2 linked regions of the Saccharomyces cerevisiae S288C genome follow. The gene in region 2 interacts genetically with the main gene of each other region. Each region holds a gene or a part of one and is shown on either strand. Other genes may lie near its edges.

Region 1 (4,262 bases), on a different chromosome or scaffold from region 2:
GATGCTTTTCTATGATGGCTAAATTGCCTGAAACCAGACAACTAGGCATGCCACCAGATTTTGGTGATGAAAAATTGTGAATCAACCTTAAATCCAGAACATAATAGTATACCTTACCAAAGATGGTGGCGGAACGTTTACATAAATGCTTGGTAATGCAGTTCATTCTGGGTTAGCGGGCTCATTTTTCAAAAATCCGTCAAATGGGGATATTTGCTGTATGCTAAGTAAAGGAAAAGTTTTCGCCATCAGACGACTTATATGAAAACGCCAACGAATTATCCAGTTTCACGAGTCAAGGCGGTAATTTTGAAATCGAACAAGAAGATGCTCACACGCCTGAACGAAACACATGTCACAGATAACCAAGACTGTCTCTAGCAACATTCCAGACGCATTGCGAGCTCGAAGTTCCGCTCAAAAGGTTGATTGGCAGCAGCACGCATCGAAGACAAGTGGGTAATCTTTTTTACGCATAATAAATGGCTGTGTCTATTTTTTATTAAGAGAAGTAAGCATAAGGATTTTCTCAATATTGTCCATTATCCGAGGCCTCCATTACCTTTGTATGAATATAATCGCCATGAATATAATCGCCATTGTAGTTCGCCAAGTGCCGCCTTTCTTTTCTTCTATCCTCTTATCTTCCGCTTATTGGCACAGGAAACGTAAAAATTAATAATCACCAGTTCCAGTCATTTTGAGTTATAATCGTTTACCCTCCCGACAAAGATAGTAGCTCGATTCAAGAACATGAATTTTACTAATATTCGTACTTTTTTAGTTTCTGCTACTATTAATCGGTTTTGAATCCTGTCTTCATTTTGTGAGGACAAAATTTAGTAGGTGTGTAAAGTGGTATTTAAGATTCGAGTCTGGGTGCACTAAACAATGATAGACTGATCAGTACATCTTCAATTTACTATATATAGATTTTTATTAGTATTTGTTTGCAACAATTCAACGGTTAGTGTATGTAGACTATTGAATATAACGAAGATAAACAAAAAGAAGGGGAGCGAAAAAGAATTGTCAACAAATGTTTATCGATATCTGCGATAAGGTTCTGCAAACAAATGCCGCTTACGAAAAGAATACAAAAATAAGAGAATACAAGGTTATCAGCCGTCGAAAAGCACATGCTATCGTGTCATCATTTCGTGAACTATACTTCTAATGGTGTCTGCACCACAAATACCATATACACATTAGAGCATGACGATGAGTACTTACTTTTCTTGACTGTACAGCCACAGATGTTGCAGTGCGTTTCAAAAGTTCCAGCCCCACGTTTTGCCAAGATAAATTAAAAAAAGAACGTGCATATGAATATGACAGTATTGAGCATAGTCTTTTTGACAGTATCCCCTAAATGCCAGAGTGTCCGCATGATTAATACTTTTCGCGGCGCACGTGCATGACGGTAAAGAAAGCAGAGAATCAAAAGAAGCAGCACGTAGTAATAGCGGCGTAGAATGTTGTACCCAACAGCAATGATGTTAGAATAATAGGGGTTATATGATTGGATCCTACGGTCTTCCGCGTTGCCGTTTGGTGCCACATTTATCTTCATATTCATGAATTTCCTTACTGGACCCCCACCTTAGCATGGATTGATTATATAGGCATATGGGCATTCCGTCCACTGTATCGTAGGATTATTTTCCAACATTAGTTAACTTAGTTCTCTGGTTAACCTAGTTTTTCAATCTGGCTATCTTAATTCTTTGATGAGGGACATCTGCTGGAAGACATCCAGAATGTGTCTGGATGAAGTAGGAAACTCGTGAATATATAAACCCCGATGAATGTAGTTGTAGCAGATGTTCGTTACAGTATTTATTATCTGTTTCTTGTGACTAGTCAACCAGCCGCAGACGTGAGTTGATCTTTTTGCTTATAATCAAAAAAATAGAATAGGATAAAAAATGGAAGACAAAGATATCACATCGGTAAATGAGAAGGAAGTGAACGAGAACACTAATCCTAGAATAATAAAATATGATGCCGAGAGGCGTGCAACCCGTACTGAAACCTCAAAGAAAGATAAATGGAAAAACATAGTTACAATCATTGCGTCCGGTTTTGCTCTGATAAGTGATGGTTACGTAAATGGTTCAATGAGTATGCTAAACAAGGTTTTTGTTATGGAGTACGGTAAGAAAAACTATAGCTCAAAAGTGTCGACTAGAGTTTCCAACGCAGCCCTAGTTGGTATTATTTTTGGCCAATTCTTTATGGGTATCGCTGCTGATTATTATAGTAGAAAATCTTGTATCCTTGTGGCCACTGCTATCTTGGTTATTGGTAGTGCTCTGTGTGCTGCCTCTCACGGTACTACTGTACCTGGCATGTTTTGGATGTTAACAGTTATGAGAGGTTTGGTAGGTATTGGTGTTGGTGCAGAATATCCTACCAGTACATTAAGTGCTAATGAGTCTGCTAATGAATATACCACTACCAAAAGAGGTGGTATCCTGGTTATGGTGACAAATTTGCCACTAGCCTTCGGTGGTCCATTTGCTACGATCATCTTTTTAATCGTCTACAAAATCTGTTCAGGAACAAAACATTTAGAGGCGATCTGGAGGACTGTTTTTGCAATAGGGTGCTTCTGGCCATTGAGTGTGTTCTATTTTAGATGGAAGACTGCTACTACAGAAGTCTATGAAAAAGGTAGAATCAAGAGAAATATACCATATTTCCTAGCATTGAAATTTTATTGGAAAAGGTTACTTGGTACATGTGGTACATGGTTTATGTATGATTTTGTTACCTTCCCAAATGGTATTTTCAGTTCAACAATTATCAGTTCCGTTATCAAGGACCAAAATGATTTAGTAAAAGTGGCAGAGTGGAACTTACTGTTGGGAGTTTTAGCTGTACTGGGTGTACCAATTGGTGCTTATCTGTCCGATCGTATTGGTCGTAAATATACGTTGATGTTTGGTTTCTCTGGGTACATCATCTTTGGTCTAATCATTGGATGTGCGTACGACCAATTGAAAAAAATCACCCCCTTGTTTATTATCTTCTACGCATTCATGAATATGTTAGGTAATGCTGGACCAGGTGATATGCTTGGTGTTATTAGTAGTGAAGCGTCAGCAACCGCTGTTAGAGGTGTTTTCTATGGTTTATCTGCTGTGACTGGTAAAATCGGTTCTGTAGTAGGCGTCGAATGTTTCCAACCCATTAGGGATAATTTGGGTGCAAGATGGACTTTTATTATTGCTGCAATTTGTGGTCTTATTGGTATCATTATTACATATTTCTTTGTTCCACATTCTCTTGAAAGCGATTTAATGAAGCAAGACGTTGAATTTCACAACTATTTGGTATCCAATGGCTGGACTGGTAAGATGGGATTTGATGAGACAGATGAAGAATCAATGGTTAGAACTATTGAAGTTGAAGAGAATGGTACTAATTGTAGTAAGAAAAACGCAGAAATAATTTCAGTCAGACAGGTCGATCAAAGTTGAAATTGGTATCGATTTCTTCCTCCATCCTTTAACCTCAAAATTTCTTTTTCTAAAGCGTTAATTTTAATTTATTATGATGCAGCTTACTCCCAAGAGTGCATGTAATGTTTGAAATATATTCATTGTTCTTGAAACTGAATATTATTATAAAACGATAAAATTGGGAATGGAAATATATGGTATAGCGTAATATTTTTTTTTTAGTTATTCTAAGTAACTTTTACATTTCAAAAGATTTACTAAAAGTTTTGTTTGAGCATTTGTTTGTTTTGTTATAATCCTTAGCTATTTTCGGTGTCTTAATGAGAAGGAAATTTTACGACTACAGAAATGATGCAGTGGCGATATCATATGCAAAAGAAATGTAGGAAGTACTCAGCTCTATTAAAATGGGGTGTGTTAGTGTAAATGATACAGATCTTGAATTGTATATTGTTTTGATTACGTTAAAACTCGTTACCATAGCTAACCTAGAAATAAGTGCTTTGGAACACCATGTTGAAAACCTTTTATTAGTCCAAAAAGTTTCACAATTCTAACATAGGATGGCAGTTTATTAACACTTTTTATATTTGTTTGTGACTTCCCGCTACAAAGTTGTGCTTTGGATCGTTCAATGTTTCGATTAAACTTTCTTTAAAGGTTCCAAAATTGAAATAGCTGCGCTGAAACTTAGTTTCATCAAAAGTACTCACACCTTTGCAAGACTACCAGGATCTTTTATCTGATAAGCTCAAATTACCATATTGCTTAATTTCTTACTACTTGTTATAGTGA
Region 2 (4,019 bases):
TGTAATGATTCCATTAGTTTGTGTTGAGATAGACACCGGTTCATTAGTGCGGTTCGCTGCTTGATAACAGCGATCGCATTTTCTGGTGAGTCCGCATACGCCATTGTGTTTTTCAGCTTCTTCTTTCTCGTCCTCCTCCTTTTATCGTTATATATTAACTTCACTGGGCCTTGTTGAGTGGTCGCACATACACCACCTTCTTTTTTTTTTTCTCTCTTTTCTTCTCTTTACTGAGGTGGCCCTTGAATAAATACAGCACTTTCTCGCATCTACCTCAACTGAAAAAAAAAAAAAAAAATAAAAAACGCCCCTTTAAGACGAAGTGACAAAGAGGCAATAGTTCAAAAGAAAAAAAAAAAATATAAAGACTGTTGATAGTTGAATTTTTATAAACGTTATGTTAAGTATATGTATTGATGGAAGGGATAATAGGATAATGGTGAATGTCTTGTTTTTTTATAGGTAGGCGGAAAAAGAAAAAGAGAGTCGTTGAAATGAGATTACAACAATCTCTCTTCGAATCTTAGTTCGTTTTGAGAAGGCAATCCAATCAACAATCTTAAAAAATTTTCTAAGGCGGTTCTTTGCTTGTTTAAGCCATTCACCGGGTGAAATCCTGGTCTTGTTAATGGAGCTTTTAACCAGTAACTCAAGAAGGTTAAAACTGGATAAAAGTTCTCGAATTTGCCAGCATCTTCTTTAACTGGGTCCACCTTCTTATAGGACACTCTTGTACAAAACTCAGTCATGACTAAAAGATCGATGATCAAGGGCGTAGCCAGTAAAGAATCTTCGCAAACATTGTGAATGGAAATCCGGTTATGGCCACCTAACATCAACTCACTGTAATACTCGTCCATTGCCACTTTTGAGTCCCCGACGGGCTTCATATATTTGATGACAATGCAGTGGTCAACTTTTTTACCCAGTTTATCATTGTACAAGATATCATTAGACGCGATGATGTCATCTATGACAGAACTTTTGGAAATCTCCTTAGACCTAAATTGTTTTGGAGCAGATAAGTTATAACCGTCATTATTGCCTAAATGGTTATAGGATGCAATGGAGACCGGTTTAATACCTGCATCCACTAAGAACTGGGCCAGAACAGACTTCAACTTGGTTTGTCCCGACTTGAGATCGTCTCCCGCAATGAATGTACCCTCATGCTCAGCCAGCTGAACCAAGCCGGGAACAAAAGTATTCTGCGGTGAACCATTAATATAGGGGACACCTTCCAAGATAGATGCTGCTGCAAAGATCGTGGAAGGAGCAATCTCTTCATGGTCATTCTTAATAGACTGCAAGAGGTTTTCCATGGTGTCATTAACACCAGGAGATACTTCTACGTACCTCTCAGTATTTGCAGTCCAAAGAACGATTACTTTATCAAGGGCGTTTTCTTCTTTGAAATTCTGGATATCGCGTCTGATGCGTTGCAGATGGGTCCACTTACCCCTCGTGGTTACGTTGCCTTTTTCATCCAAATTGATGCAGTTATTGGCTCTCTCATCTTGATTAGCTGCAATGAAATCAGGGTAGTAAATGGAAGGAAGAGGCTTCACCAAGGACATCTTCGCCTTCAAGCGTTGTTGCAGATCATATTCGAGAACTTGACTTCTCTGCATAGCTTCGTATAGATCTGCGTTATTGATGTCCCAACCAGAGACGACAAAGTCGTTTGGGCTAACCATGGGCAACAGAGAGTTAAAAGGAGCATAAACGTCATTCCCCTCCGCATCGATACCCAGTTTCAAGGTAGAACATTGAGTCATGGAGCCGAAGTAGTTTGGTTGCTTAACGCCTTCCTTAGTTTGAAACTCCACATTGTGCTTATTCGCCAATACCGAGGCCACTAAAGTGGAGCCATTGTTGCCACCTAACCCAATGAGCATAATTCCTAGTTTTTCCGGCTTTTTCAAGTCAAGTTTGAACACGTAGTCTTGAACAGTGGGCGTTACATCGAAGCGGCCACTAGCTGTCTTCGTAACTACAGCATTTTCGTAGCTGTACTTGGTGAGCAGCTCGTTGTCCTTGTACGTGCACTTGTCGGTAACTACTTTAACGGAGGTGATTGGAGCAATATTATCTTCTGTCATTGTTACTTCTTTTTCACTGGAAAAAAAAGGGAATGAAACAGAATAAATCAAGGATAAAACTAACATTAGGAACCCGACAACAGAACAAGCCAAAAAAAGGTGACGAAAGCTCCAATTTATATACGTCTCAAATTAACATTGCCGCCAACGCAGAGGTGCGCTTTCTCTGCTCCATGTGAATTAAATAAGTTCAATATTCTGGGAAAGAAGGATGAAGATAAAATAGACAATACTTTTCACATGCCGCATTTAGCCGCCGAAGCGCATACTTGGCCTCCGCATATTTCACATTCAACACTTTCGATTCCGCATCCAACCCCGGAACACCGGCACGTATTTCATAAAAAGGACGTGAAGAACAAAAGGAACGAAGAAAAAGGCAATAATTTACTCTATGTGTTATTTAGAACTACGGTGATAAAGAGCTCGTTCCGATCACTAAGTACGGCCGGAAGAGAGCTGTTGTTTGTTGTCCATCAAGGGCACATCGGCACCGGCCTCATCGTCTTCATCATATGCTGGAGGCTGTGCTTGAGATTCCTCTGCAGGGTGAGCTTCCAGGTCACGGTCTACGGCGGGCGCAGTCGCATGTCTGCGTGAAAGATCGTACGAACGTTCACTACTCGTTTCATATACAACGTAGCAAGCGTGAATGATTGCTGGGAAGAATAACAGTAGGAAGAGAAGTAAGTTCAATAGTGTATCCCTGTTGAACATACCCTTACGCTTCCAGACGGCCACTGGGGGAATGAAAACCGCCAAAACCATTAACAACAAGTCGTCCTTGTTGATGGAATAGCTCATTCGATGGTCATGGTCATTAATATGGTCTCTGTCCATTTCTAAATTATATTTGGTTGTTTGCTTTCTGCTGGGTTTTTATTTTTTAACCTAGCCCCTTTCCTGCAGCTGGCTCATTCGTGCTGTACTCTCTTTCCTTTATATACTAGTGAGACCTTTTCCCCCGTTCCCAAAAAGAAAAAAAAAAAAAAAAAAAGAAAACGAGCCTTCATCACGTGCATTAAAGAAATAGTAATCCCAACGCACTCATCCGCTATATACATAGCGAAAAACTATATGCCCACTTCACAAATACGAGTTTGCATGTATAATATATAAGATTTATAAATGTTGTAGGGTGAATGTAAACGTTCAGTAATATACCGGTATATCTATCAAGATACGATCAATGCAACGCTTTACTGCACTGCACTACACCCCTTTTCCTCTACTTGTTTTTCTTAGTTCCTATTTCCCTCTCAAAATGCACCTGTTCACCAGAGTATTCTTTCTCATTGCAAGTATTACCCTACTTTATCGTCCCACACAAAGAGGAATATATATAGATTATAAGCGAATTGTAGATTTCGATGGAGATCTGATTTCCGTGCAAAATATCCAGGACGTCTATACACAGTGTTTACAACTCAGCTTATATTCATATCATGCCATTTCAAGATTATTTTCAGAAGAAAAAAGCAGCGTTCATTAACAGAAACAATAAAAGTAACGCAGATGCTTCAGCGCTACGAGATATTAACGATATTAACATAAATTTCGCCGCCAAGAGCAAAAACTACGTGTTCCCGCTAACAAAGCTCCCCGATGAGCTCATGCAAGAAGTATTCTCTCATTTGCCGCAACCAGACCGCTTGCAGCTTTGCCTTGTGAACAAAAGGTTGAATAAGATCGCTACCAAACTGCTTTATAGAAGAATATATTTGAACGACTCAAATGTAGTGAAGAGTGACTTCATGCATCTCGCAATTAATTGGACCCTACTGAACTTGCCGTCTTCGTTGAAAGAAGAGGAGTCCCGCGATATCGCCAACTGCAAATTGAAAAAACTTATAGAAACACTGCAAAATAATATTCACATTACTGAAGTCATCCAGTGGATAAGGATCAACTGGGATT

Evidence for each region.
Region 1: of INO1 (region 2) and GIT1, a mutation in one rescues a mutant of the other (synthetic rescue), as found in Saccharomyces cerevisiae (one study listed by BioGRID).

Annotation. Positions count from the first base shown.
Region 1 is NC_001135.5:296,272-300,533, reverse strand, and holds GIT1 (Git1p), read left to right. Parts: upstream 1-1,928; coding exon 1,929-3,485; downstream 3,486-4,262. UniProt on the Saccharomyces cerevisiae protein: Glycerophosphodiester transporter that mediates uptake of both glycerophosphoinositol (GroPIns) and glycerophosphocholine (GroPCho) as sources of the nutrients inositol and phosphate.
Region 2 is NC_001142.9:133,832-137,850, forward strand, and holds INO1 (inositol-3-phosphate synthase INO1), read right to left. Parts: upstream 2,103-4,019; coding exon 501-2,102; downstream 1-500. Other genes in the region: retromer subunit VPS35, read right to left, coding at 1-104; SNA3 (Sna3p), read right to left, coding at 2,541-2,942; SCF ubiquitin ligase complex subunit DAS1, read left to right, coding at 3,548-4,019. UniProt on the Saccharomyces cerevisiae protein: Key enzyme in myo-inositol biosynthesis pathway that catalyzes the conversion of glucose 6-phosphate to 1-myo-inositol 1-phosphate in a NAD-dependent manner. Rate-limiting enzyme in the synthesis of all inositol-containing compounds.